4 linked regions of the Astyanax mexicanus genome follow. The protein of the gene in region 2 interacts with the protein of the main gene of each other region in a pairwise test. Links are inferred from orthologs where the notes say so. Each region holds a gene or a part of one and is shown on either strand. Other genes may lie near its edges.

Evidence for each region.
Region 1: the proteins of nudt18 (region 2) and dhps interact in binary tests that used the Homo sapiens proteins (3 or more experiments, as listed by UniProt). The two-hybrid records come from large-scale screens. The link is inferred for Astyanax mexicanus from reciprocal best matches to the Homo sapiens genes NUDT18 and DHPS.
Region 3: the proteins of nudt18 (region 2) and evi5l interact in binary tests that used the Homo sapiens proteins (3 or more experiments, as listed by UniProt). The two-hybrid records come from large-scale screens. The link is inferred for Astyanax mexicanus from reciprocal best matches to the Homo sapiens genes NUDT18 and EVI5L.
Region 4: the proteins of nudt18 (region 2) and hsd17b14 interact in binary tests that used the Homo sapiens proteins (3 or more experiments, as listed by UniProt). The two-hybrid records come from large-scale screens. The link is inferred for Astyanax mexicanus from reciprocal best matches to the Homo sapiens genes NUDT18 and HSD17B14.

The regions. Positions count from the first base shown.
Region 1 is NC_064426.1:39,363,979-39,371,602, forward strand, and holds the start of dhps (deoxyhypusine synthase), read right to left. Parts: upstream 3,024-7,624; 5' UTR 2,876-3,023; intron 1,360-2,875; coding exon 1,165-1,359; intron 117-1,164; coding exon 1-116. Other genes in the region: guanine nucleotide-binding protein G(I)/G(S)/G(O) subunit gamma-7, read left to right, coding at 5,119-5,214, 6,280-6,405. UniProt on the Homo sapiens protein: Catalyzes the NAD-dependent oxidative cleavage of spermidine and the subsequent transfer of the butylamine moiety of spermidine to the epsilon-amino group of a critical lysine residue of the eIF-5A precursor protein to form the intermediate deoxyhypusine residue.
Region 2 is NC_064419.1:30,331,509-30,338,730, forward strand, and holds the start of nudt18 (8-oxo-dGDP phosphatase NUDT18), read right to left. Parts: upstream 3,012-7,222; 5' UTR 2,794-3,011; intron 2,658-2,793; 5' UTR 2,567-2,657; coding exon 2,408-2,566; intron 1,062-2,407; coding exon 848-1,061; intron 1-847. Other genes in the region: adam9 (disintegrin and metalloproteinase domain-containing protein 9), read left to right, coding at 5,214-5,295. UniProt on the Homo sapiens protein: Mediates the hydrolysis of oxidized nucleoside diphosphate derivatives. Hydrolyzes 8-oxo-7,8-dihydroguanine (8-oxo-Gua)-containing deoxyribo- and ribonucleoside diphosphates to the monophosphates. Hydrolyzes 8-oxo-dGDP and 8-oxo-GDP with the same efficiencies.
Region 3 is NC_064428.1:27,241,989-27,248,890, forward strand, and holds the start of evi5l (EVI5-like protein), read left to right. Parts: upstream 1-3,892; 5' UTR 3,893-4,122; intron 4,123-6,902. UniProt on the Homo sapiens protein: Functions as a GTPase-activating protein (GAP) with a broad specificity.
Region 4 is NC_064426.1:17,506,272-17,514,041, forward strand, and holds the start of hsd17b14 (17-beta-hydroxysteroid dehydrogenase 14), read right to left. Parts: upstream 3,018-7,770; 5' UTR 2,868-3,017; coding exon 2,780-2,867; intron 2,643-2,779; coding exon 2,604-2,642; intron 1,023-2,603; coding exon 925-1,022; intron 816-924; coding exon 749-815; intron 612-748; coding exon 520-611; intron 1-519. UniProt on the Homo sapiens protein: Catalyzes the NAD(+)-dependent oxidation of L-fucose, yielding L-fucono-1,5-lactone, which rapidly converts spontaneously to L-fucone-1,4-lactone. Can also act on D-arabinose and L-galactose, with lower catalytic efficiency. Does not use NADPH.

The sequences.
Region 1 (7,624 bases), on a different chromosome or scaffold from region 2:
ATGAGGTTGGAGGTGTATCCCAAGAAGATGGTACAGCCTGAACGACCCTGCTGAGAGTCACCAGCGTCCTGCTGCTCCTCCTCCGGCTCCTCCACCACCTCCAGCCTCTTCTCAATCTAAACACAGCACAGGTATTACAGGTCCTTCAGAAGAGACAACATAAGATTTATGTCCAAATGTCTGTGGTTTACTCTTTTTCAGCTGTGTATTGGCAAGAACTTGGCGATATGATACATATCAAAATGCAGATAATAATAATAATAATAATAATAATAATAATAATAATCATTTTAACAAGTTTAATAAGTTCAACTTATATATCGCCTTTCCCAAACCCAAGGACACTTTACAAATACAGAAAAAAAAAATATATATATATATATATATATATATATATATATATATATATATATATATATATATATATAGCAAGATATTGCAATACTGTTAGCAAGGCAATATAAAACTAAGTAAGTTTAAACTTTATTTTGTACCCAATCAGAACACTGCTGTCTAGTGGGCGGGGTTTAAACCTAAACATAGAATGAACCACTTCTGACACCAATCTTAACAGCATTGAGATTTGAAGTGGAACTGTATTCTCTGGACTGATGGTGCTCCATCCATTACTGTTAAGTAGAGATGAACAATGATATTAAAATTATATCAGTACTGGCTAAAAATTACTTTTTTTTTAAACCAATATTTACTGATCTATCTATTGTATGCCGGAAAAGTTGTAGTGGGATTTGTGGTCTTCCTGTGAGTTATAAATATGTACATATATGTGTATACATTTGTAATATTGGCCCAAAATTTCTACATTAGTGTATCCCTACTTTTAACATATAGAGGGAAGTTGGGGAGATGTTAAATGCTGCTTACACTGGATGTTTATGCAAATGAGTGTATATACAGAACCAGTCAAAGGTTTGGCCACTTGGACACTATTATGACTCAAGTACTACTAAAACAATATGACTAAGAAATGAAGGTCAATCCGTATCCTCAAATGCAGTCACTACAAAGACTATCACAGAAAGGTTATGATGAAACTGGCTCTCATCAGGACCACCCCAGGAAAGGATAAGCAAGAGTTTCCTCTGTTGCACAAGACACGTTCATCAGTAATCAAGTAAAGTAGACAGAGGGAAAGAGTCTCACCATTTTGTTAATCTCCTGCACGGCCAGGCCGAAGCTGCTGGCCTGGAAGCCTGTGGTGAGGTAGGAGTGCAGCAGGGCTCGGTGATCCACCCCCTGGTTAAAGTCGTAGCCTCGGATCCGCGGCACGTCCTCCGGCAGAGCGGCGCTCTCCTTAAGCACCGCATCCCTGGCCACGGAGGGCACACTGTCCGCCATCTGTAGATAATGCACAGAGTACAGTAATACTGTCACCATTACAGATATTTAGGTTAGGTTACTCTTACAATAACTGATATTTTAAGTGCTGTAAATTTGATCTAAAAACTATTTGGTAGCAGAGACTTCCTGACTGTCAGCTGTGGTGTTTTCTGTAACATGGTGGTAAACACTGGTCACTCCGATTACTGCTGTACAGTAAAAAATCCAATGTTCTTTCTGTCTTTTTCTCTCTCTCACTTACTCGATTTTCAATTCCACCTTAAATGCAGCACTTAGGCTTGTGTGCTTGGTTACACAAAATCTACCTTCACCATGCGTTAGTCGAACAATAGGCTCTTTTTCACATAACAAACTGCAGGAAATGGCAAATAAATATTCAGAGTATGTAGAATATAATTCAAACAAACCTTAAATTCAGGGGTTCTTTTTGTACTTGTCAAAAGGTGACAAATTTTATTGAGATAGGGATTTCATTTTCCAGCAGGACCTGGAACACTGCCCGCACTGCCAAAAATACCAATTGGTCTTACAATATAATATTCTAATGTTCCTGGTTGTAAGTCATTATCATCAAAAAGAAAATAAATAAACATTTTAAATAGATCACTCTGTAATTTTCACATTTTGAATAGAATTACTGAAATAAAAAAAGTAACTTTTCAATGAAAACCTAATTTCTTTGAGATGCACCTGTACACTGAATAGCCCTATTTGAGTAATGTTCTAATCCATATTATGAGAAGCAAGACCTACTCAACTAAGTAAATAAAAAAATACTTTAAGAAATGAAGGTCAGTCAATACGAGAAATTTCAAGAAATTTAAAAGTATACTCAAGTGCGGTTGCAAAGACAATCGAAAACACAATGATGAAACTGGCTCTTATCAGGAGAGCAGGAGTTTACAGCCTCAGAAATGATGCAACAAGCATCAGAGCCACCTCTTTTGGTTTGTTTAACACTTTTAAGTTACTACATGACTTCTTATGTGTTCCTCCATAGCTTGGATCACTTTAGAATTCATTTACAATGTAGAAAATTATAAAAATACAAAAACATTTACTAAAAAATTGTGTCTTTTGACAGGTAGTGTATACTGTACAAGTCCAGGCTGTATTTGACTATTTTTTCTTACTGGAATTTTCTATTCCACCTTAACTAGAGCCCTGGATACACTCAGGCTTGTGTATGCTTGCTATATGTCTACACAGGATCTGCTGCATCATTTAAGGTGGAATGAAAAATTTGCTCTGCACAGGTTCTTATGACTGAGAGAATGAATAATAGTGTCGATAACGACAAGAACACTTCTAGAGAAATGGTTAAAAAAGGCTTTTATTTATTTAATAAAAATAAAAACAGACTTTTATTATGGGTGTGTTATTGATACAGCAGCAGCAGTGCTGCAGTAATATAAGCAGCTAAATGAGCTAAAGCTAACAGGACTGTAATAATAAACACTGATCTGAGAACAGCTTTCTTGTGCAGTTATTACTGACTGATACACACACTTACCCTGCAGGAGCTGAATCCGGATCAGGAGCTGGAGCTATTAATTATCTGTATTGATCTGTATTTATCTGTTATCTGTGTTCAGGAGCAGATGAAGCTACACTGCAGCCTCATCACTCACACTGATCCCACGTTGTTGCTACAAAGTACGGCGGCCACGTTGGGACAAACTAGTGGAGGGAGACGGATTTCGCGTTCGAACAGTTTTTATAAACGTTAGATTAAATCAATCAATTTTTTAATTATATATTTTTCTAATTCTTTATTTTCACACAGTAATATATTAAGGGCAATCCTCATTTTTAATGCAGCAAGCATTTAAAACTTGAAGGGACTAAAAAATAGATTTAATTTGAATTAAAATCAAGAAACTTCATAAACAATATCATAAAAAATAAATGGAAAAATTATTAGAAAACAAGCAAACAATATAAAATTGAATAAAGAAGAAGTAAAATAATTCAGAATAAAAGCTTAAGTTGACAGGCAAAAATGTAAAGCAATAAAATAATAAAATAATTGCAATAGTACAATTTATAAAATAAAAAATAAATAAAAGGTTCAATGAATGAAATTTCAATATAAATAATGAAAGGTAAAAGGCCAAAAGTTTAATAAATGAAATAAATAAAAAGACAAAATAAATCAAATAAAAAGTAAAAGGTAAAAAAAAAGGTAAAAAAAAAATCAACTAAAACAGTTAAAGTTACAATAATTTAGTGATACCGGTCAACCCTTATTTTTACTCTGTAATACATTAAGGGCAACCCTAATTTTCAATGTCGCAGAGCATTTAAAACTTGAAGGGACTAAAAATTTTAATTAAAACGAAACTCAAGTATTTAATCAGGAGAGCTAAAATAAGGAACTTAAACAAAAAAACAAAAAACAAAAGATATGGTAAAAGTATTTGAAAAACAAGCAAAAAATATAAGATTTGCTTTAGAAGAAATTAAATAATTCAGAATAAAAGGGGGCTTAAAGAACACTCAAGTCACTTATTTAATAGAGCACTTAGAGTCTGTCTATAGAGTCTGTCTACTGTCTATCGATAATTTTAAGAATGTCTTACCAGTTAGTTCTGAATATATAATTTTAGTTAAGCTCAGTTAGCACTCTGAAAAGGGATCTGGGAGACAAAAAAAATAATAAAAAAAGCATAAAACAACCAACAAAACATAAAAAAACAAATAAAAAAATATTTATAAACATATTTATTTCTGTAAAAATGTTGAGCCTTTTCTTATTTTTGACATGCATTTACTAATGTGACATTTAAAAGAAAATGTCTCATTTAGCAAAATGTCTGTTAACAAGTATATGCGTTAATATAATTCATCCAGGTATTGCAGGTCTTTCTTTCCTGCTGCTGTTAGACTCTAAAACCAACCCACATATACACACTTCATAAACACACACTTAAATACTACATACTTATAGAAAATATATGTTTTTTTGTGTAACATAATGTAAAATATTTTTTTTCTTTATCCCAATGCAATTAAGAGGCAATGTGCAATGTGCAATTATTTGTAAATACAATCTACAATCTAAAGAGTTTTTGACTTTTTATGATTTATATTGTATATATTATATTGTTTATTTGATCTATTTTATTGTAATGAGTGCCTTGTTATCCATTTGCTGCTGAAACACTATGAATTTCCCCACTGTCGGACTAATAAAAGAATTATCTTATCTTATCTTATTTTATTTTGTCTTATCAACAATATTACAATAAGGATACAATAAACAATAAAACAGGTTATTTGGGAATTGTAGCAAACAATGATATAATGTAGCAAAGTTCTGATATGTCTGAATTAGATTTTTAATCTGTTTAATGAATTTAATGTATTAGTTTTATAACATTTGTACTGTTGTTAAAATATTTATACATATATAATTATTTTTATCTTATAAAAAATCCATTATGAATAAACTGGGTAAAAGCTAAACTGACACACACACACACACACAGGTCAGCAGCTCTATATATCCCTCCAGGGCTTCTCCTCTGATAGTGTGTGATGTGGGCCTGACCTTTCCACACCTGCCTGTGTGACCTTTCAGCTCGGCCACATCACAGAGCTGTGTGAAGTGGTCTTCAGAGTGACCGCAGGTGCCCGGGGGGGATGGAGGGTGGGCACAGGTTAAATAACCTCCACCACGACTCTCAGTTCCATATCTCCATATCACACTCCATATCTGAGCAGGACTTGGATGACCTGATGAGGAGCTGAAGGATGGAGGCTGGGAAGGTGTACAGCAGCAACACCGTCCTCCAGGCCAGGAAAGCGGTGGAACAGCTGAGACTGGAGGCCGGCCTGGAGAGGATCAAGGTAGGCAAAAGGTCATGTAATAACTTAAAGGTGTTAAACAAACCAAAAGAATACTCTTTGAAGCACTTACTTGTGGTTTCTGAGGCTGGTAACTTTGATGAACCTTTCATTTTCCATAAATGTAGTGGTCCTGATTAGTGCCAGTTCCATCGGAACATTTTTTGCGACATTGCGACTGCGTTTAAGTTTAGTTTCAAAGTTTTTGAAATGTTTCGGGTTGACTGACCTTCATTTTTTAAAGCTCATGTCTGTAAATTTTGGGATTTGGGGGATTTAATGCCCTCTCTGGTGAGAGTGGGTAATTGCACCGAGCATGCGGAAGTCATTTTAAACTGGGCGGGTGTGATGGGGTCTCCTTTCAGAGCGGATGAATCCGATTCCAGGTTATGTTCAGTCAAAGAGAGAGAGAGAGAGCGCTCAGTCAGAAACTTCACTCCTTCGTTTCTTTGCTTTTACTATGAGTAAATGAATGAGCTACTGAGCTCTGAGTTTCCCCTTCTGAAGTCTCCATTGCTCCACCAGCTGCTCGTGTTCAGTAAAACTGAGCCGGATCCTCTTTTAGAGGCTGTACTTGTGACCCAAGTATGTAAAGACACATGACATGGCCAGAAGAAGAACTCCCGCGAAAAGCGACATGACACCCAGCCTGAATTCTAGGTGACTCTACCTCATAAAGCTGACTGAAAAAAAATCAGCCAAGAGGGGCTACTTTGAAGAATCTAAAATATAAAACATATTCTAGTTAGTTTAACACTTTTTTGTTTACTAAATAATTCTATATGATTTTCTTCATAGTTTTGTAGAATGATGACTTTATTGTTAATCTGCAATGCAGAACATTTTAGAATAATTAAAAATAAAAAACTCTAAATTTAATGACTTAAGGCTTTCTGAATGAAAGAAAGTTTGATGCTACTGTTTTAGGGTCTCAGAAGAAAATGTATTGTTGAAATTTTGATTCTTCTTCCTAAAAAAACAAAAAGAAATAAGCTAAGTAATAACCTTAACCCTATTGGCTGGGCGTCTGGTGATAGTGATAGTGATGTAATGCCATGTTTCTTGCAGATTTCGGCTGCAGCTGCTCAGCTGGTTCAGTACTGTCAGGAGAACCGGCGTGGAGATCCACTGCTGACCGGCATCTCTGCCTCATCAAACCCTTTCAAAGACAAGAAAACCTGTGTGCTGCTATAGGAGAACCAACAACCATGAAGCCACACATGCATCACTAATAAAGACAATGAAAATTCTGGTAATCTGTAAGAAATAATATAGCATATTTATATATAGCATATGTAATATAACAAGAACACCAAGCAAAACCTACATAATATTTTAAAGATGTTCTGACTCAATGTATCTATCCATCAGTATAGCTTTTGCCCAACTTCCATGCATCCCACACATCAACTTCCAGAAATGACTGTTCACTTGCTGCCTAATATGTAGATAAGATAAAAAGTGCCAATATAATGTGATAATCAATGTTATTTACTTGAATATTCAGGCTGATTATTGTAGACTGTATATATATTTATATTATGAAAGGTAATACCCAGTAGTGGTATCTAAAGCTCTCTTTTAGCATCACTTGTGTTGTAAATGTTCTGTATTATGGATTAATTTCACAGCTTTAACTCTGTATAATGTACTGTATGCGTCCACTGACAAACAAGTATCTCCATTTTTGTTGATATTTAGTTCATTACGTAATTTAAACAGACAAACTGTCCTTTACACTGTGCCAAAATGTCTTGATAAAAAGACCAGTAGAAATACTTCAAAATGACTTGAAATTAACCCTTTTTATATCTTTTTATAAGTTTTTTTTCTCTTTCCTGTAAAGTTGCTGTTTTGGAGATACTTGTTTTTCGTTGGACAGCGACTATATACACTATTACTATTTAAAGGCAATGATACATCTTGTTTAAACTTTTTTTGTCTTTCTCTGACAATTCAAATAAGTGAAACATTGATGTTTTTGCCTTTTTACTGTTTTTTAATGCACTGCAATTTAGTTTTCAACTCAAAACACAACTCAGTTTAAAAAAAAAACACACATTATATGATCAAATAACAAATAAAAAAGGTTCACAAATGAGTAGCTTGGTTGATTTTCTTTTGTTTAGCTTCACAAGGAACAGAATCTAAATCTTTGACTGAGAACGTCACACTAGTAAATGCAGGGAAGTGTACCAGAGCTACAGATTAAGATTAATACTAACTGCAGGATTCAGGATTTACACTAAAGCTAGAGATATACTCGCTGTTTCTCCATTATGCCAATTTGCGCAAACAATTGGACGCACTGTGAATGTGTCTGTTGATATTCTTGCCTGTGTGCTACATGTAATACTGGAGGCTTCCACTAGAGGCCTCCACTGGCTGCAGTGTAGGCGGTAGGGCTGCAGCA
Region 2 (7,222 bases):
ATTGCACTGAGCATACATAAGAGTACTTTTAAAATGTGCATTTCATAGCAGAAGAATGCAGTGGTTTTATCATCTTTCTTTGGTTTAACCATGCATGAATATGCAGATAGAGGCTGAGGTTGCTGTTCTGTTTCTCCACATTAGCAATCACTCTAGCAAAGTAGAAGCATTAGCAACGCTACTGTTGCTCAGGTAACCAACAAAAACTGTTGTGGCCAGAAAAAACTCTCGTAAAGACTTGCCAGACACCACACTGTTTTCGCCACTTGTCCCCTTCCACTTACCAAATACCACTGTGATTAATTTAAAAGAAAAGTAGTACTGAATAAAAAGTATTTTAAATGTTTAGACACTAGACGTACAGTATTTTAAGCCTAGAGGTTGTTAATTTCCACAATTCTACAGTTAAACTCACCATTTAAGGGCTCAAAGCATTATGTTTACATGCGGAAGAGTAATTCAAATTGCTTATTACTATTAGGTTAACAATAATTGAAAAGCTAATAAAGGATTAATAGCCAACTCATTATAAACAATGTCAGCTGGCTTTTGACATGAATGTTGGAAGAAAAAACCCTTTAAAGGTTTTTTGATTTCCCACCTCTGGAACATGTACTGATTTTTGACATAATAATGGGATATCTGCCATAATAGAATAATAATATTATAACTTATTAGAAATTTTGTTTTAACTACCATTACAATAATCAACATGTACAACCTACCAACTAATATCGTCATCATCATCATCATTTGCTCGCTGATCCACACCTATCATAGACCAAAGATATTCAGCTAGATCAGAGACCCTCTCTAGTACTGGTACCATGATTCACACCATCCTGACCTGTGATCTCAGCGAGGAAGGTGAAGCGGATCCACTGCGGGCCGCTTTCCTGCACCTGCAGCATGGTGACCGGCTGACAGTCCACTCCAGCCTCCTCTTTCACCTCCCTCTGCACAGCCTCCTCAATACTCTCCCCCGGTTCCATGCGGCCTGCGGGAAGGTACCACTGCCCATAGCAATCCTTCTTCGCCTCCTGCACCATCAGCACCTCCCCCTACAACCCATTAACACACACAGTTATATGTAGAGCCTTCTTTAGAGTGCATTATAGATTGTTTTAATCAAAGACTGGGCCAAATGTGTACCATCTGGATGCTTTTGAGGACTATGAGATCTGTAACTCTAATCTAATCTGAGGCCAGATTTATCAAACCTGTGTTCTTCTTGGACAGCAAATGGACAGAGTGACCTCAATGTGACCATTTGAGGATGAGATTGTGGGTGAGATGAAGTCTTCATTTGTAATTTAATTGTTGCTTTTAGGTGTAGGACCTTGTTAGTGCCATGTAGTTAAATTTGAGTGGGATAGTAGAGTATAGGAGAAGGAAATGGGCCCTATGTATAACACTAGTTTTTAGTTTTTAGGGATTTGCCATCTCCTACTACCTGCAACTAATTACACAGGAACACATTTGCCAGTGTTTTTCACAAATTATTTGGAGCTTGCACACTTTATAATTTTTTAAGCTAGCAGGGCGAAATTTTTTGTGTTTCTGGTCAATACACTTATTCTATAAAGCATGACACAAAGGAAAATATCAGGAGTGCCATATTGTGAACTAGAGTGTCTACTTAATTAACCAATGTTATATAATTAGCTAGTAATCCTAATGCTGAAACTAATGTGCATTACTTGGAAATGGTTTGTTTAGCATAGCCGGTGGAGTTCCAAAGGGTTCTACTGTATATTCTGCAGAATCTGTGCTATTTGCATCCCCAGTAAATTACATGTAGAAATGTGCACAAAAAATAACTGTAAAATACTTTTTACTATTAAGTCTTGTTACTTTCGGTCATTTAACTTATATAAAGAGTAACAGGACACATTTACACATTTGTTTAATAAATTGCATGATAATAAATGTTATCAATTTCAGGTTTGGGTCTAAGATAAAAATGGCTTTGTATATTTTAGAAAAAAACTGTGCATGCATATATAGTGATTATTTTATCGTGAGTTGTCATTAGATTTAATGTTGAAAAAACATAAGATAAGAAAATAAGTTAAAAGTTAAATAATATAGTTAAATAAAGTTAAATTTAGAAGAGTTGCTACTAGCAAATGGCATCAAGCCCAGGGCCTATTAAACTGATGTTAATCATGTTTTAACTGTAGCTAGTTAAGGACGTACAAGGCCGAAGAACTGAAGTGTGGGCTGCTGAACTAGTTTAGTACTGAACACAAAATAATGTATTTTCTAAGGTTATCTGGCATGCCACAGTTTAGAACCCCCTGTATTGGAAATATGGATGTAGGTTCTACACCACTCTTATTTTAGGGGATTTCATGTATTAAAACATACTTTAACATCTACATCCTAAAGAATGAGCCCACATTACCTTGGCATTGAAGATGACTGCAGCAACAATATAACAAACATTCGACCTAAGGGTGACAGGCTTCGGCTCCTCGGGGGTCCAGTCATATTCTGTGACCTCCAGTCCTTCACCGTTCAGGATCTTCTCCACGGTTTCTTCTTCAAGTCCCTCAGAGCCCATATTGCTGATTGGGACACCGCCAACTACAGCCAATTCAGTTTCACTTTGGTTCAGCGCCGTGCTGAGCTAATGCCTCAACCACCGGCCAGTTCTGCTCGCCGATAAAAAAAACAAGAGCATAAAATATATGTTATATCGCTTTTATTACGAATTAAAAGTTATATCAGCAAATTGTTATCAAAATGTTAACCATAAAAAGCGAAATGCGCATAGCTGTGTATACGTACCCACAACAAGCCTGCCTGTACGCAAAGCGCTGCTAGCTGCAATGCTATTGGCTGTAAGAGTAAGGGACCGGGGTTAAATGACCAACTTGTTTTAAACAACGCACATACTTTATGACTTATTTTCATTTTGGGATAAAAATACGTACTCAATATCGGAAAATAATACTGATAATAGAGATTAACTACTGTTGCTAAACAGAAACAACGCTTTAGCAAAGTTATAAGACGGATCTAATATCGAACCGCTAGATGCAATTTTACATAGTTTTGAGTACACCCCTACTTTCCCAAACAAACTGGGGCGAAGAAACCTAGTCATACTAGCTTTTCGAGATCTTACCGCAGAAACGCAAACACAACTGTAGCGTTAACTATAACGCTTGTGGACATGGGTTAAAATGCATTTATCTGTACTTATACTTAACGAGCCCAGGAGTTTTGTACCAAAACTGCGTTAGAGAAGTAAAAAAAAATGTTAGGGACACCGATGGGTGCATGTCAAATTGGCGTGTAGTTCCCTAGATAGTTAACAAGCTGAAGTAAAAGTGTAACTGATAATACCTTAAAGGATTTGACAGACACTCTTATTTAGAGAAACTTACATTTACACTGTATGGGAGTGTAGTTGGATCCTTATTTGCAGCTTCTGATACATTTAGAGCCTTATTTGATGCATTTACATTGATAGGTAAATGTGAAGTTATTGGTGTAGTGTCCTTGTGGACACATGGTAGACCACCTAAATGATGTTCCAGTTATTGTTGGCTACAGTAGTGGAATTCAACTGCTCAACTACCTGAACATATTTAAACCAGTGATATTTTTGCCTGGTCCAGCTAAATATCTGTTTGACGAAGAACCAGCAAATATTCAACCAATGATCATCTGAAGTCAGTCACCCTCAAAAGTTAGCCTAAGCTGTATTTTCTACATTAATGTCCAATTCCATGCAATCACATAATTATCAGCCAGTCAGGTATTTGATTGCCCATGAAAATCCATGAACTGTTAAGTATAAATATTAGTAACAGTCTAATGTTGCATTCAGGTTCACTTAGGAAGCTTGGTTCTTACATCTTTTGAGCTCATAAATTTACGACATGATTTCTTTACAAGTAGTTTAGGTAACACAAACATCCTATATATTGTTTTTTTTTCTTTTATGTATCTGTGTTTTTCTTTTACCAACAAAAAACAAGTATGTTCAGTTAATGTAATCAAAACAAACTTATAAACAGCAAAGTATCCAGTAGAAGTATCAGTAGCATATTGCAGTTGCTGTTATTGAAACAGCCCTAACTCTTAAAGGTACTGAGAAAAAAATCCCTGTTTTTCACTGGAAAATTAGAAAATTTTGGTGGTATTCATGTACAATAATCTTTATGACTGTGTATTAGCAAAAACCTAGAGATACAATAGGTGTCATTGCAGTTATGATTTAATATATTGCAATACAGTAAGCATCGTGATATTTACAAACAGCTCTGTAAATAAAAAAGAGGCCACTTAAAAATGATACATTTCTTTGATTTTACCAAATTGTAAACCTCTGGAATATAATCAAGAGGAAGGTGAATGATCAAAAGCCATCAAACTGCTTGAATATTTGCACCAGGAGTGGAATAAAGTCATCCAAAGGCAGTGTATAAGACTGGTGGAAAAAACAAGGGTTATTCTACCAAATATTGATTTCTGAACTCTTAAAGCTTGAATATGAGTATAAGTTTATTTTCTTTGCATTATTTGAGGTCAAAAAGCTCTGCATCTTTTTTGTTATTTCAGCCATTTCTTATGTTTTGCAAATAAATGCTCTAAATTACAATATTTTTATTTGGAATTTGGGGGAAATGTTGTGCATAGTTTTGTAGAATCAAACAACAATGTTAATTTTACTCAGATATATACCTATAAATAGCGGATTTAGAAACTGAAGTGGTCTCTTTTTTTTTCATAACTGTATTTTAAAACCACACATTCACTCAGTACTGAGAGTAGGGATTAGGGCGTAGGGAGCCACTTTGTGTAGAGGGCATTGTTAAATGAGATGTTCCCATTGTCGACCTCTGTCGTCGGTCTGGGCTTCATTGCAAATTCACGTCCGACCCTCATGAGTCTACAAGCTTTCTGTCGGATAAGCCAGCAGTCCCATTTCTGAGAGGATTACTTTGAAAACAGTCGCCTGTGTGGAGGAACATGCTTATCTCAGCAAGCTTTAACTGAAAGAGGCAGAGCGGAGATGAAAATGAGCAGGTAGCTGAAGTTCTTTACGGCTGTTTTAATTTTTTACCTCCTGATAGGAGCGTTATGTGGAGTCCAGCGGGCTCTTTGCCATTGCTGGGAAGGCGACGCCTGGATAAGGAAAAGCTACCAGAAACTGACTGTTAAAAATCCTCAATTCACCGAATTATTTTGGAGAAATAATGGCTGTTTTACAGTCTTCTCTTCGCATTCAGGCAGCGTGTGTCCTGTTTATGCTCTTCCAGCTTTGGGACTGCAGCGAAGGTAAGTAAACAGTAAACACTGGGGAGCTCCATGTCGGCTTTTTACAAGTTTCCGGTCCACCTTAAATAGTGCAGCAGTTTTACACAGCCTCGCGTCAAGGCGCCAGACCGTTACTATAGCGCTTTTTAAGGTGGAACGGAACATTCGAAGTTGAACCTTCTCAACACTGTTACAGTTTGCAGAAATCAGTGTTTTTGTTATTATGACGAGGTTTTATTTCTGTTCCATCTTTCTGAAACATTTTTTAGTAAAAACTTAAGAATATTAAGCTGTTATTTTAATTTGTATTAAACTAAAAGTTTGGGACACTTTATATATCTAGGATAGTTAACTGTTAACTAGCTACGTTAACAGTAACATTTTGAAGACTGGAAATACCTTTACCAAGACAAAAAAGAGAGAGAGAACAAATTGGGAAAATTGCTTTTTAGGTTTGTTTGTACATTTTTATATATTTAAATATATTTGACCATTTAGTCTTTTGTATGGTAGAGATGTTTTTACTGTAAGCAGGATCACGTCTAGTCTACACACAGACTTGTGCTATCTCTGACTGTAGGAATAGCAACTATCTAACCTACACGTTTAAGAAGCTTACAGGTGCTCTGTAAAAGCTTATGTGTGTTAATGCTCAATGTCTGCATAGTGAGACTACACATAGACTAAGGACACACATATCCTGTATTTCATTTTTTTGTAAAGTATTGATAATTTGTTGTAATATAAGAGAGACCAGGGGTGGTCATTAATTTTTCCAAGGGGCCATAAAATACACTGAAACTGTTTTGGAGGGCCAGACCAACAGATTCAACCCAATGTGTCTCAGTGTTATTTTTTATTTTTACAACAAGACTAACAGGCCACTTAAAATGACAAGTTTCTTTGATTTTATCACATTAAAAACCTCTGGAATATAACCAAGAGGAAAATGGGTGATCACAAGCCATCAAACCAAGCTGAACTGCTTGAACTTTTGCACCAGAGGTGGCATAAAGTTATCCAAAAGCAGTGTGTAAGAGGTTGAGGAGAACATGCCAAGGTGCTTGAAAACTGTCATTAAAAACCAGGGTTATTCCACCAAATATTGATTTCTGAACTCTCAAAACTTTATGAATATAATCTTATTTTCTTTGCATTATTGGAGGTCTTATTTCAGCCATTTCTCCTTTTCTGACAATGACAATATTTTTACTTGAAATTTGGGAGAAATGTTGTCCGTAGTTTATAGAATAAAACAACAATGTTCATTTTACTCAAACATATACCTATAAATAGCAAAATCAGAGAAACTGATTCAGAAACTGTGCTCTCTTATTTTTTTTCCAGAGCTGTATGTCGAAAAGAATACTGACGGTGTTCTAATTCGTGAACTTGCTCTACTTAAATGCTTTGCAAATAAAATGGGAAATTCTCCATGTCATATGCCAAGCAACATCAGCATTGTGAAGCAGTGGATCTGCATTTTGTGGTGATCTGCTCTGATGGAGCTCCTTCCATTGCTATTTGTATAAATGAAGTGGCAAAACTGATCATCCAACAACATCACTGATCCTCTCAGAGGTTCAGGATCTATTGTAAAGCCTTCCTAAAAGAATACTGGCTGTTATTGCAGCAAACTGGGACAAACTCACTATTAAACTCCTTAATTTAAGAAGAAATTTAAGAAATGGTGGATGAACAGGGGTCTACAACCTTATCACCAGTGTTTTTCAGAGAATAGGGAAGTGGAACTTCTTAGTCTATCCTGCGTCTGTCAGCAAGTTTATTAGGCTTTGTTGTTCTCTTTGTGGATCCTTTTGGTATAAAGATAAAAGCCTGAAGCTCTAAGTTAAAGTGTGCAAACAACAAACAATAAAGCGGCAGAAAACAACAGAATGCCATTAAATCCAAAAAAATGTATATTTGTATTTGTTTAGTTATATTGCCT
Region 3 (6,902 bases), on a different chromosome or scaffold from region 2:
TTAAATAATTATTTGCTAGTAGTTCACATACACTAAAAAAGCAGCACTTTAGTTTTGAGGTAGATTTTAGCTGTTACGTTATTATTTTATACATCAGAGTTACTGTTACTGCGTTCCATTATTTTTAGACTAGTTAAGTTACTGCTTACAAAAAACGTTTTTTTTTTGTTTGTTTCTACTGAAATGTATGAACCTATAAAACATTTAAATTCATACTAAATTCTAACCTACCTGTAAATAACACACATCACACACTATTGTAATCATGTACATATTGAAATTCTTCATATAAATTTAACATCAATTTAAAATTCATATTTAATCAGTTTATTACTCTTCGTGTGTTATACTTGGCGAGGGGCGAATAAATATTTAATTCCTTACTGTGCGGATGCCAATATACCAATACACTCTTTGAATCTTAAATCTAAATAAAACTTCAATATTTATTTTGTTGCAGTAAAATATTTTGAAATCAATTGTAATATAAATGGTCATATCGCCAGGGATGTTGTTAGTATTCGCAAAGCACACTAAAATATCGTGCTTATTTTAGAGCCATATTAACCACCACTTGTTTATGTATTATGGGTATATACACAAATAAATGTATTATTACACATATGCTTTACTGAAACTTTATATTGACTATTGACTTCATACTCTAATTATACAAGTTACTATGATGGATAAATAGAGCTTATCTACAACTAGACTTCTCTAGATTTGAGGGCGCCCATTCATACTTATAGTAGGTCAACTAACGCGAGTTACTTAACAGCACATTTAGAAGTTGTGCTAAATCATTTGAACCCTTATAAAGGAAATCATGTAATATTTTTTCTTTAGACAGAAGCTGAAAGCGCTCATTTATCCACGAGAAGCATGAAAACGCCGTGCTCCAACAGTAATACTGAAACTCTAGCTACCAGCTATTTTCCACAGACAGACAATGAACGAGTGGAGCAGCCTCGCCATTCAAACTTTGGTAGCTAGCTAACGCTATCTAACCTAGCGTTAGCTGGTTAGCACACCATTTATCCAGCTAAGCTCCACTTAAATTGACTTAACGTTATGTGTTTCAGAGATATGTACATTGTTTTATAAAGAGCACGGGTAGAAGGTTAAATCGCATTTAACGTGGTTAAGCAACACAAACAGCCACAAATACAACAAACCCCAATAGACAGCTGGCTAGTAATCTGAACAACGCTAGAGCTAGCCTAGCTTAGCTTAGCTTTGCTAACTAGTTAACTAACCGCGCTAACTAACAAATAACTTGCTGCTAAAAGAAAATACAAAAGGAGACAAACGCACATACATTACCACACGTCCCCACTTAAACACCGTCTTAAATATTAGTAAATATCATTTTAAACTGATGTTTTACCTCCCGCTTCTGTTCTCGGAATCAGGCTCACTGTTCTGCGCTCAGCGTGTCCAGGCCTCAAACCGCCTGATATTTCCCGGACGTTCGAAGCCTACAATGCACTCAAACTCTATTGGGCAAATTCAACGCCAATCAAAGCAGCACTCGACTGTGATTCGCCAGTTCAAATGACAATCGATTAGAGGGCGGGCACGGAGGTTCGAACCCGCCCACTTTACCCGCTCGCTTGCTCACGCGCTGTCCGAGAGATGTCGCCATACACAAGCTGGTACCGCTTCTCATAATTAACACTGCAGTATTTAAGATTTATAGAAAAATAGAAAGATATTCCAAATTGGTATACACGCACAGTACTAGTCAAAGGGGTGCACACACCTTCTCATTCAGTGTTCTTTCTTTCTTTCTTTTTTTGCACTCAGCTAAGCTGACCTCCCCTCCAATCAACACAGTACTGAAACATACACAGTACTAAATCAAAAACTCACATGCACTCACACACCCCATACCTGCACTACTGCTTATATTTGCACTATTTTACACACTTTAATTCCCTTCTATGACTGTAACATTTAAATAACTGTTTACACTTGAACTGTCATTTCCTCTTTAATCCCCCCCATCACTATTGCACTATTGTCTTTTGACAAAATAGACCTATAACTACTCGATTTGTCTTGACTTGACCTGACTTGTATGCACTCATTCACTTTACCAGCCATAAGCTTCTATACCTCTATATTTGCAATAATGTTTTAATGCTTTTTATACTAGTACTGTCATTCCTTCTTCAATCCCCCATCATACCTAACTGGTACACTCTCCATCATGTACATTGCACTATGATCTCGTGTCTCTTGTCTGACATGTGTCTCTCATTCTTTTATCACTTGTATTTTTATTTTGCTGTACCTGCTGTAACATTCAGGGACAGTAACGTAATTTCAATTCTCTGTATGTCCTGTACATATGCAGTATCAACAAAAAAAAACCTACTTGACTTGACTACATTGTAGATTCATATTAAAATATCAAAACAATTAAGGGACACATATGGAATTATGTAGTAAACAATAAAAAAAGTTTGTCCTCCCCCTGTATTAAACATGAATTAATAGAAACTAAAAAACATTTAAAATAATCTAAAATATAAAATCTAAATAAAAAATGGACTGATGGATATGATGATTTTAAACTATTCCAGCTTTAATGATAATTTAATTGTCTTAACTTGTCACAACAGGACATTATTTCATAATTATGTTTTAATGAGCCAATAAAACTGGTTCTGAATCTGGATCTAAAATTATATCACATATAGACTTGGTATTACCGAGCATATTCACACATTATTTTGCATTATTATTTAATTAAACCATCATTAATTTATGTGAGCACCTGTCCACTTTAACCTCTCTAAACTCTAAAACAGGGGACTGGAGAACTGAACTGTCAGTCTGAGTGAGGCTCTGATTCCTCCTCTCCTATTGGCTAAGGCTCCAGTCAATCAACGGGGTGCCTGTTGCAACATTTTCTAAAATATGAAGATATATAATGCACAGATTGTGTTAAATACATAGATTAACTGTGACAAACACAGAATGGATAGGAGCAACAAAGAAACAAAAACAAATAATTAATAGCAAATAACATACAGTAACAAAATAAAATAAAAGCATTCATAAAAACACAATAAATAAAAATTAACATACATAGACGTCACAGTTTGAATGAAGACACTTTTAAACATAAAAGCAGGTTTTGTTTAATGACAACCACAATATATAATATATAAACTTTTCTAGTTTTTATAATCTAAAATTCAAGAAGATTTTTTTTTATTCAAATTTTCTCAAATTTTGTAACAAATGTAGGTTGGGTCAGTATAATGATTATTCATTTAATTTTTTGGCCGTTTTAGGCTCAATGCAAAAATAGAATATTGGTTGTAAAAACGTATTATTTCATATTTTTAATGTAGTGCAGTGGACAAGAAATACGTTTTTTCATATTTTTTTTTCAATTTTAGTTTTTTCATCTCTGCACCTCACAATCGTAAAATAGGAGTCTTTTATTTATGATTTTTGTATTTTGCAAGTTGGTTCATACAATCAATTTTTTTTTTCTTGAAATTCTGTTTGCGTAAAGGCTGATATGAATTATTGAAAAATTGGATTAAATCTCATTTCTTCTTCATTTTGAATTTAGTTTGATACAGTCAGAAAATTAAACTGCTAAATGTTACACTGACCTAGGTTGGATATTAGCAACAGATTTTAGTTGCAAAAATGGAAAAATCAGAATTTTTCCAGACATTATGATTGTGAGGGGAGGAAATGCAAAATTGGAAAATTTGAAAAATGGGTTAAATCCTATTTATTCACATTTATTTACTGTACTATACTGAATGGGAAAAATAAATAATGATTTTAGACTCAAACGGTCAGTAAATTGAACTAATAAACCTTACACTGACCGGGGTGGTCCCGGTGGGCGGGACATAGGCGGGACTTGGGCGGCGCCCATGAAGAGGCATCCTTGGAGGAAGCTGGGCGCTTTGACAGCTCGCGTTTTCACCTGTTCTTTATAGCCACGACGCTCCGGAACGGAGAATATGGATTTTATGGATCGTTTTATGTCGTTAAATATGTTTGGTTTCATGTAAGGAGGGTTTTTTTTGGTGTTGCTGGTCCGTTGTCACGCTAATGGCGCGAGCCACGCGTCCTTTTCTTCAGGTGGGTAGGCTCATTTTCGTTATTTATAACGTTAAAGGCGGGCTTATTTACTGTAATATTATATTTATTAGACAGAGATTGTAGCTAGTTGAATGGCTGGCTGTTTTGGGTGCTTTAAAATGCAGCTGTCGGCTAGAAAATGTGGCCTCTGTTCACATTCCTGCGCATCCACGCTCAGCATTTGCAGGGGGAGCGCTTGGCTTGGAAATAGCGTAAAAAATTACGCTAAGAAATCTAGGTATCTAAGCTAGTTAGCTAACATTACTAGCTAGTTAGTTAGCTTAGCTAGGTTAGCCATTGCTCTTTACAAGCTATAAAATGTTCTCCACCGTAAAGAAAAAATAGACGAGGCGTAGCTACACACCATACATAGCTGGCTAATATATTCGGCCTAATTTTCATAACGTTACAGAAGCGTAACATAACGAATTGGTCGTATTTTAACGTTGAAAATGACCTAACTAGCTAGCGTTAGCTGGTTCTGCGCGCGCCCCCTTAGCAACCACCAACGGTTGACCAGCTAACTAACCAAGCTAACCTAGGTAATGTTAGATTAGCTAGCGTTATCTAACTGGATATAACGTATCCATCAGCGGTTTTGTAAATGAGACACAGGCTATATACTAGCGTTTGGCTATAAAACAGGCTTATACACATTTATCATGTGATTAAGGACTAAAACTAGCTTTTTGTAATGTGATTCAAACCAGCTTTCCACCTTTTTCTTTCAAAAAACAGCTAACGTTACTATACAACTAAAATACACTTAGCTGTCCCTCGCAGGTTATCCCTGTTTTCTGCTCACTGTCTGTTCGTTAGCTAACTAGCTTATGTTGATGTAACGTTACAGCAATGGTTGCTGTGCTCTGTTTCATCTGCAGTCTACATCTTTTCCTTGGAGGATGAGACAGAGAGAGAGAGAGAAAGAGAAAGAGGGAGAGAATGAGCTGTCTTCTGTTTTTTTTTGCTGACCACCCTTTACTCCATATTTAGCTAACCCTCCTATTATCTCATACATCTTTCAATGCTTCTATCATTTTTGCTCTTCATATTTAATTAACGCTATTCAGACAACCAATCAAACTGAAAATAACTTGATAATATGTCATAGTAATATTCAGTTTCGTGTACACATTTTAAACAAGCCAGTGTTTTTGGGGTCAATCAATGATACCATGAAAGACAAGGCAAAGGCAAATATATTAAACATAGTCTCAGTGTGTTATCACTGTTTTCTCCTCACTGTCTCTGTTTAAATACAACAAGAGCAATCAGGGCTGTATGAATGTCACTTGATCAATCCACTTAAATGTATTGTTTAGATCAGATTTGGCTATATTGATATTTCACATTCATACAGGTAAGTAATTTGTATATGTCTGTAATGTGAGTAAATTGCTGTTTTCCTGTGATGCCAGTTTAACTGTTGTGCAGGAAAACAAAAAATTAATATATACATAAAAATCTACTTATTTACATTTGAGATAATTAGAAATTAAGTCACTCCAGCCTGGTAATCTCAAAGTGGCCAAAGAAAGAGAGATGGTATTTTACTCTGTTCTGTCTGACCAATTTGAAGAGACTCTGTGCCATGGGCTAAAGTGCTTCTTCTCTCTCCTCCCTCCATATTTAAGTCTCATTTTGGCTCCCAGTTAAATGGATTAATTATCCAGCTCCTCTGCTTGTGATTAGACTGACAGACAATCTAATCGCTCGCTTTGCTTCTGGGGAGGCCTGCCTTGTTTTGAGCCGACAGTGCTGAATGAAAAGGATGAAAAGGCTGCGATTAAGTTTTCTGTCTGCCAGCAGCTGATAAACTAAATTCCATCATGTGCTCCTGGGAGCCCAGTGTCTGTCTGTTCAGGTGAGGAAAATCCCAACACGCTTGCCCAAGCAGGCCTTTCCTGTGTGTTGCATGGATGAAGGTCCATAAAGCGTATTGTTGAATAAAGACTGTTTCTGGATTAGTCTATGGTGACCATGGTTTATGAAAGTGAGGGGGAATAAAGACCTAGATTACCTATATGTCTAAAAATTTGATTAGATGTGGAACCTATGTTAGGTGACCAAAATTCAGTGTCTAGACAATGTCTATTCCAATGTTAGTTTGGTGTAAAAAAAAAAAAAAAGTGATGACAGTTGACATTGACATTTTGATGGTTTTAGTTTTTAATTGATGTAATCCAATCCCTTTGTTTTCCTGACATCACTTCAACATCATACTGGTTTAAAATACATCAGTACAATGTGAAATTTACAATGTGGAATTCTAATGTTCTAATGTTAGATATAGGTATGTTTTGGGTTTAGTCATTGACAAAATTAAATGTCTGTCTAATGTGGCACTTAAAGTGACAATTCAGTGTTGGTTTTCCAAATATGTGATGTTTCCTAAATGTTGTATCTGTACAACATTGTGTTTTGACATCAGCAAAATATCCTTTTCCATCCAAATAAAACATTTGTCTTGCGACAGAGTCTGGCAGATATATGACATCAACACCAACACCCTTTTCTAATATCACTTTATACATTCAAGATTGTCAGACATACAGCAGTGTTTTTCTCACTTCCCTTAACATTTTGAGTAATACAGATACAGAGTGGGCACCATAACAAGAAAATTGTATTGTGATTGTCAGACTTCTTGCCCAGGTTTGCTGTGGTGTGTTTGAAAAGGAATTAAATCCAATCTTCTACAAGAAAGGCAGCATTGTTATCCATTATTCACAAACAACCCACATCGGTTACTGAGAAATGCAAAATCATATACAGTCACA
Region 4 (7,770 bases), on a different chromosome or scaffold from region 2:
TTGTCAGAATCATCCTTACCTTACAGCACTTTGGTCCTGAACATGGTGGTCGAGAGGTTTGAATGGAAAGGTGTCTTTTTTTTACACATAACAAGGTGATATATTAAGAGTACTTTCTTAAAGGGACAGGACTAAATTTTGTGCAACCTGGGACAGTGTGCATTTTTGGGGTCAGAAATCTTGCTGGTTGGTAGGGAATCAAATACTTATTTCACGTAATCAAATACAAATTCATTTATTACCTTTACCTTTACTTTTAGGTGTATTTTTATAAACATTATAGACTGTTTGTGTCTTAGTGAGGTTGTTTCTATAGACTTTTTCCCTTAGTAAATGATCATCTGAAAAATGTACATATGATAAAAAAGCAAAAACTAAAGAAATCTGTAGGGGGCAAATATTATTCACAGTACTATATAGATTTCTGCACTAAAATATGCAGTGCATGACACCTATTGATCACAAGACAGAAAGTTGGTAGTACTGGTTAGACAGGGGAGACTGGTTTGGGAGCTTCACCTTAGATGCGAGGAAGTAGTTAATCAGGTTGAGGTTGAGCAGGTCTTTAAACTCCTCTGCGGTTGTCTCATCCGTGGGTTTGTGGGGGGGATCTGAAAGCGAGAGGGACAGGGAGCGTCACTGTTAGATCTGGGTCAAACTTTGCTTTCTGTAGAAGTGAAACAAAGCGGAATCTCCAAAGTTTGACTAAGCAAATAAATTAAACGGAAGGATGGGGTCAAGTACTCACGCCAGCCAGCATTATTAACCAAACAGTCTATCTGTCCGAACTTCTCCACAGTCACAGTGATCAGTCTCTGAGGAATAAAAAGAGAGACAGAAGGTAAACAGACAGTAGTATACAGAAGCCAGGGAAGACAGGATAAGGGGAGGACATGGGTTTCATAAAAGGCTAAGATGGTGCACCTTGATATCTTCTTCCTTGGATATGTCACAGGGCAGGAAGAGACAGGAGCCTGGACCTGCTGCATTTAGCTCCGCCTCCAGCGCTTTACCTGCATCAGCTAATGAGAGAGGGCAGGTTTTAGATATTTCAATAAAGAGGTAATAAGTAACAAATAAATAAACATGCACTAATTAAGCCCTTCCAGTAACTGAACAGAATTATATCAACTGTTTCTCCTGTTTCTTCTTTTTTTATTATTAATGGACAGATTTTTTTTACATTAAAATCATTAAAATCTCACAAAGTCAGTTAAAATAATAACTTACAACAGTAAAGAAAAATAACAGATTTTTTTCAAAAGTAAAATACTCTGGTTGCTTATTGAGAAGTTAATACTAAGCTAGGTAACTAATAAAAATAACACAGTAATAAAGTGATTAAATAAATATGCACATTAGTTCTGTATGCTATAGACAAAAATCCAATATTTGATAACACTGATATTGATGTGAACAGTATAAATTTAAATTTAAATTATTTTAAGCTCCTCAAATGTCCCCCACCTCTAACTCACCATTAGGGTGTAAATATTCTCCACAGGCCCCCTGCTTTTGTATTTTGTATATGTGTTTAACCCTGTCCTCAGTGTTAAAGGCTAAAAAAGCAAGTTGCTATGCCTTGTGTTGCTGAGTGTATATAGACTATATGCTGAATGGGTCACATGACTGGTAATAATACAGATATGTAATAATCATGAATTTCCAGTTCCTAACGTACATTAAAAAACATAGTTTTGCGCCCACTGTATTAATTTAATTAATGTAAAACGTGTTAATGTAAACATTTAGTAGTACTTAAATGAAGCCAACTAAAAACACAAAGTGAGTTTTTAAGTTGATGAGACCTATTTTAATATTTGTAAACTAAATCTAAACTAAAGCTTTCTAGTTTGCACAACTGGTGGTGTGTTTCTTCAAAAAAATTTAAAAGTTTGAGTTGGCAACAAAACAAAAAAATTTAGTGCAGTAAGTTGCCTTAAAATGTTGAGTTATATATATATATATATATATATATATATATATATATATATATATATATATATATATATATATATAGAGAGAGAGAGAGAGAGAGAGAGAGAGAGAGTAAGAGAGAGAGAAAGAGAGAGAGATGTCTGGAAAAAGTTAAGAGACAACGTTGTTGTTTTATTATATAAACTATGGACAAAATTTCTCTCAAATTCCAAATAAAAATATAGTCATTTAGAGCATTTATTTCCAGAAATGAGAAATGACTGAAATAACAAAAAAGATGCAGAGATGCGAAGAAAACATTTTTTTTTTAAATCAACTAGAGATTTTTATTGTATTTAGAAAACCATAGAACTATTTAAACACTGAATCGGTTTCCTGAATTGACAGGGTTCTGTACAGAATAAACACCTTTACAACATAACCCTGAAGAGAGGCGTAGACCAGGTGAATAGATAAGGAAGAGAGAATGTGAATAAACACACAGAAGTGTATATTAAGTACATATTATTAAGTAATAAACAAGTATTCAGATAAATGTGTGCAGCTCTATAGACAGGAAGTGAGGACGTAATGAATAAGGGAAAGAGGTAAAGAGGTAAAATATAAATATGAGTGCAGGCAGAAAGTAGAAGGTGTACAAATGTGTAATAAACAGGTGTATTTACCTCCTCTGGCGCAGAACACAACTTTAGCCCCATTCTGCACTGCAAAGGTAAACAGCAGGAGAGCCTCGTTACACACACACACACACACACACATACACACACTCTTATACACAGATACACACTCTCCGTTCACACTGTTCCTCCTCCTCCTCCTGCACCTGCTCTCCAGTACCTACCGAAAACCTTCACGATCCCCCTGCCGATACCCTTCGACCCCCCGGTCACCAGCGCCACCTTCCCGCTGTAGCGCTGAGAGCTCGCCATTCTGCACCTCCAGCAGCTCCAGCAGCAGCAGCTCGATCAGCTGACTTCCCTCTCTCTACACTACACTACACTACACACACACACACACACCAATCAGCGCTGCAGCTCTCCACCCAAACACCAACCCCAGCCTCACACACAAGCACATCAGGCGCACAGCACGAGCTCTGCGGCGGTGCATTGTGGGAATTGTAGTTTGCAGCCCCAGCAATAATAAGACCTACACCAATCAAGCATAACATTATGACCCCGTCTTTGTTAATATTATACACCAGGGGTTCTTTACCTGGGGGTCGTTTTGAGACACACTTCCAGGGGGTCGCGTTTTCCCAGCTAAATTTGCGTCAAACTTTCAAACCGACTCTTTCTTAGGCTTGATTTGGGGTACGCTTAAATTAGGTTGCTTTTTATAAAGTTTAAACAGAGTTCCGAGGACTGAGTTCAATGGTGTTGAAAAAACTTCAATGCATTAAATACTGTGTTTTACGAACTGTATTATAAGGAAATTAACGTTTATTTTCTAGTCTATTTTATACATAAGGCTGGATGTTAATCTGCACAGATTTCTCTCCTGAAAACGGTTTATTTGGGTGAGTAAAGCACTTCCGTTTATTTACATTAAGCTTACATTTCCAATATTTTTGTGCGATTAGCAGCAGTGCTAGCCGTGGTTAGCAGTGCTTAGTGGTAGTAAATGCTGTCCGACAGTTCCAGTAAGCCAGGGGCCCGTAAGCCAGTTCGTCCCACGTAGTTTTAACGTTATAAACATGCAGTTCAAAATACTCAGTAGTAGCAGCTAAAGCTAATACTGCTTCAGCCTCAGTACTGGAAAAACTTCACTGAGACTCCTTTATAATTCCTCTGCCGTACTTCAGAGGAATGGCTTTTCTGCTCCTTACAACCTGACTGGTAGAATTTATACATAAGGCGCACTGTCGATTTTTGGGAAAAATAAAGGGGTTTAAGTGCGCCTTATAGTTAAAAAAAATCGGTAATCAAACTTCTGTAAAATCCATTTACAAAAACTAAAAAAAAAAACATAAATAAATTAAAACGCACAGTATCTCACTAAAAAAGAAGTAAACCTTTTACATTTTTGTAAATATTTTGTTATATATTTACAAAACACTGATGTCATGGTGTGGTACAGAATACAGACACTCGCGGAACCAGTTAAGGATTTTATTGAAAACCCACAGGCTATATAAAACAGTAGCAAAGAGTAAACAACACCGGTAAACAGATACCAGGAGGTAAAGACCATTACCGGATAGTGAGGCAGTCCAATGGTCATACACGGGGCAGGCAGTATCAGAGATAATCCACAAACAGCAATGATACACAGTCCAGAGATCATACACGAGGCAAGCAGTATCAGAGGTGATCCGAAACAGAAACGATAAACAGTCCAGGTAATACACGAAAATCCACAGAGTGAGCAAGGCAAAAATCAAGGTCGAAAAAACAAAAGGCAAGGTCATACACAAGAAAATAATCACAGAATAAACACTTTGTAATGTGGGGGAAACAAGGCAATACGCGGCGCAGATGTGTGTGTGAGCAGTCCTTTTATACTGCAGGTAATAATCAATATTCAGCACTTCCTGGCCGGGGCAGGTGAGGTGTCACGTGATCGGCAGTGTGTGTGATGTCAGTGGGTGGTGCATTCTGGGTGTTGTAGTTGTCTAACTGAGAACCTCAGTTGAAGCTAAGTGTGAAAGGACAGGGAGCGCCTACAACACCAGATGTGACAGCTGAAGATGTGACACATTTATATCTAAACCACTGGCAACAATCCTCTTCCACCCTCCATGACAATGACCTTGCATTGCTCTTCCTTTCCTTTAAGGATGCCCCACAGATGCTCATTAGGGTTTAGGTATGGAGACATGTGTGAGCATTCCAGCGAGCACAGACTGTGCATCAACAGCTTTTGTCTCTGACTTTACATCTACAAGTAGGAGCAGCCATGTAGGAGTGTCTAATAAAGCACACCGTCTGGGTCCACAGTGTTTAAAAACTCTGGCACTCTATCTATTTCTACATACTAGGTGGTGGAAAGGAATAAGCATGGGCAGCTTGGCTGCAGCTATGCAGTCCAGCTATGCCCTAAATTGAGGTGGAAGCAGGGATGCTTGAAGCTATAGAATGTGTTGTTGAGGCCCGATTTGTCATTCAAATCAGTCACAGATCCAGTTTTTCTGGTCTGATGAGTTGGGATTTGTTCTCTTTATGAAGACATGAAATTGTAGTCTTTTGTAAAGGATTGCTTCGAAGGTTTGTCTCTCTTGTTTCTGTTGTGAATATCTAGTTTTAGGTAGATCTGTTTCCAGTTTAGAAAAAGCAACTTTTCAGCTCAGAAAAAACAGGGTAATCAGTGTAAGTCAGTGTAAGTGTTTCAAAATCTAGTGCACACATAGATTCTAAACACAAAAAGAATATACTGACCTGTAAAAAAACCTGTGAAAAGGAACAACTGATCTTTATTTAAACAATACAGAGAGGTTGAGGTAACATATAAAACTGTTAAAATTCTTCTTATAATCCATAAAATGGTAAAACACCCTCACATTAAATGCTACTTAAACTGTCAAAAATTAGACTCAGCTACAGATGACTAGAACATAGTTATATAGGATTTTGGAGGTCTAGTTTGGTTTGCTCTTGATTGTTGAAGTAAGTTGTATCATCATGGACCAAAAAGCTCCCTGAGGCCTTTGAAAAAAACATCTGTGCAGTTAATGCAGTTCTGCAGCTTTCTTGCCCTCTCACCAGTCCACCTTTGAATGCATTCTGAACAGGTTTCTCAGTTTTCAGTCTTTGTCTGCCACACCCAGTTTTAAGAACACTTTTTCTCTGCTTTTGTGTAGAATATTCTGTCAATTTTGTATTTTTTATTATGGTTGTATCATATTTAAAAGGGAATGCAGGCTGAAGTAGCTACTGCTGTGGGCATTCATCATAAAGTAGCCAACTATGCTAACTTTCCAGTAAATTTAGTCTATTTAGAGTTATTTAGAGCATATTTAGAGCGTAGCTGACTAGCTCTTAAACAACATAATGGGGCAACACAGAACTTAAAGCCACTGTTGTTCAATATATGGTTGAAGTTGTTCTTTTCAGATTTGAAGCACCTGTGAAGTGGACTCATTGAGTGCTGTGAGGCTATAAAGGAAGACATTATTAGCCTTAGAGATAACCCAAAAGCCTGAAGAGCACCAGACACAGTAGCTTCACCCGAGCCTTCTAATTGAGCCACTTCTTTGTGTAAGGATGTTCTAGTGATGGTTATCCCCCCCACGAAATTCTAAAAGCAAATGTAGTTACGTTTGGGTGAATGTTTCATGCAAGTCTCCACCTTTTTATATTGTGTTCATAAAAATGTTGTTCAAGCTAAAATCTCCTCCTTTTTTATTTTTTATAATTTTATTTCTATTTTTTTTCCCCATTTTATCCCCAATTTACACAGCCAATTACCCAACCCACTCATTAGGACTCCCCCAATCACTATCCTAACACACCAGGAGGGTGAAGACTAACACATGCTTCCTCCGATACATGTGAAGCCAGCCACTGCTTCTTTTCGAGCTGCTGCTGATGCAGCATTGCCAAGCAGCCAGCGCGAAGGAAAGCGCAGCAACTCGAGTATGTCAGCTCACAGACGCCCTGTGCTGTGCTGCCCTGTGCTGCAGACATCACTGTTGGATTGACATCTGGAGAGAGAGAGCGCCATCTACCCACCCAGAGGGAGCAGGGCCAATTGGGCTCCCTCTGAGCGCCGGCAGCTTGATGGCAAAGCTGCATGAGCTGGGATTCGAACCTGCGACCTCCTGCTCATAGTGGCAGCACTTTAGACAGCTGGACCACTCGGCGCCCTTCTCCTCCTCTTCCCTTTTAAAGGAGCATTAGGGATTATATTTTCTGTAGTTACTCATAACATGACCAGTATGTATCATCATCAGATATTAAGGAAACGTGATATTTAAGCACTGGCAGCTCTTGTCAGTAGAGCTTTTTTTTCTGTAGTAGGTTACAGAAATCCATGGAGATCCATGTAAACACAATAGCGAGTGGAAATGAAGGAGCTACTGAACGTGATGTCATGTGACAGAGAAAGCCAATAAATTCTCTGGTCCTCCTGTTTTTTCGATTGCACTTCAGATGCAGGAGTTTTATCAATGAGTAGAAGTGTAAAATATCCCCCTGAGAAACTAATCCCATACAGATAAGGCTTAAGTTACTTTTAAGTTACTGCCACCTCTACATAACTAATTATTTTGCCAAAATTCACTTCACTAGAAACCTTAGCTGATACAAACTCAGAATAGTGTCTGTATTTCCAGCTAGAAAACGTGCATCTCTTTCCTCCCTCCACTGTTACTACCGTAAGTTACGCTTTACTGACGTCACTGATTGTAACAGAACTGCCAGTTGGAGTTCTCCTCCAAGCGTGTTGAGCTCCAGTGGTGCTGTTTTAGTGGCAGTGTGGTGGAAATCCACATGTATCAGAAGAAGCACAATAGGAACTAAAGCAAGCATTTAGTCTTTAATCAAAAACATATTTGTTTAGTGTGTCCTGTTTCTGCTGTTTCTTTTTATTTTGACCATGCTATGTAATATATCCAGAGCTTTGCTGATGATCTTCTGTAAATAACTTTTTTTAGGAAAATGGAAAGTTCTGTCTTTATTATTATATTTATTAAATTGCATATTAAAATGTGAGAAGTGTTTTTCCTGAAGGAAGTGCAGAATGGTTTCACAGCTTTCGTGGCTTGCACTTCCATGCAAGTGCTACATTAGTGCTTTGGGTATTTGTGGTTGTTTTCATGATGTTGCTAGCTGGTGGTTATGGTATTCCAGAAGGTTGTTTTGGTGTTGTTAAGAAGTTTCTATGGTTTAATAG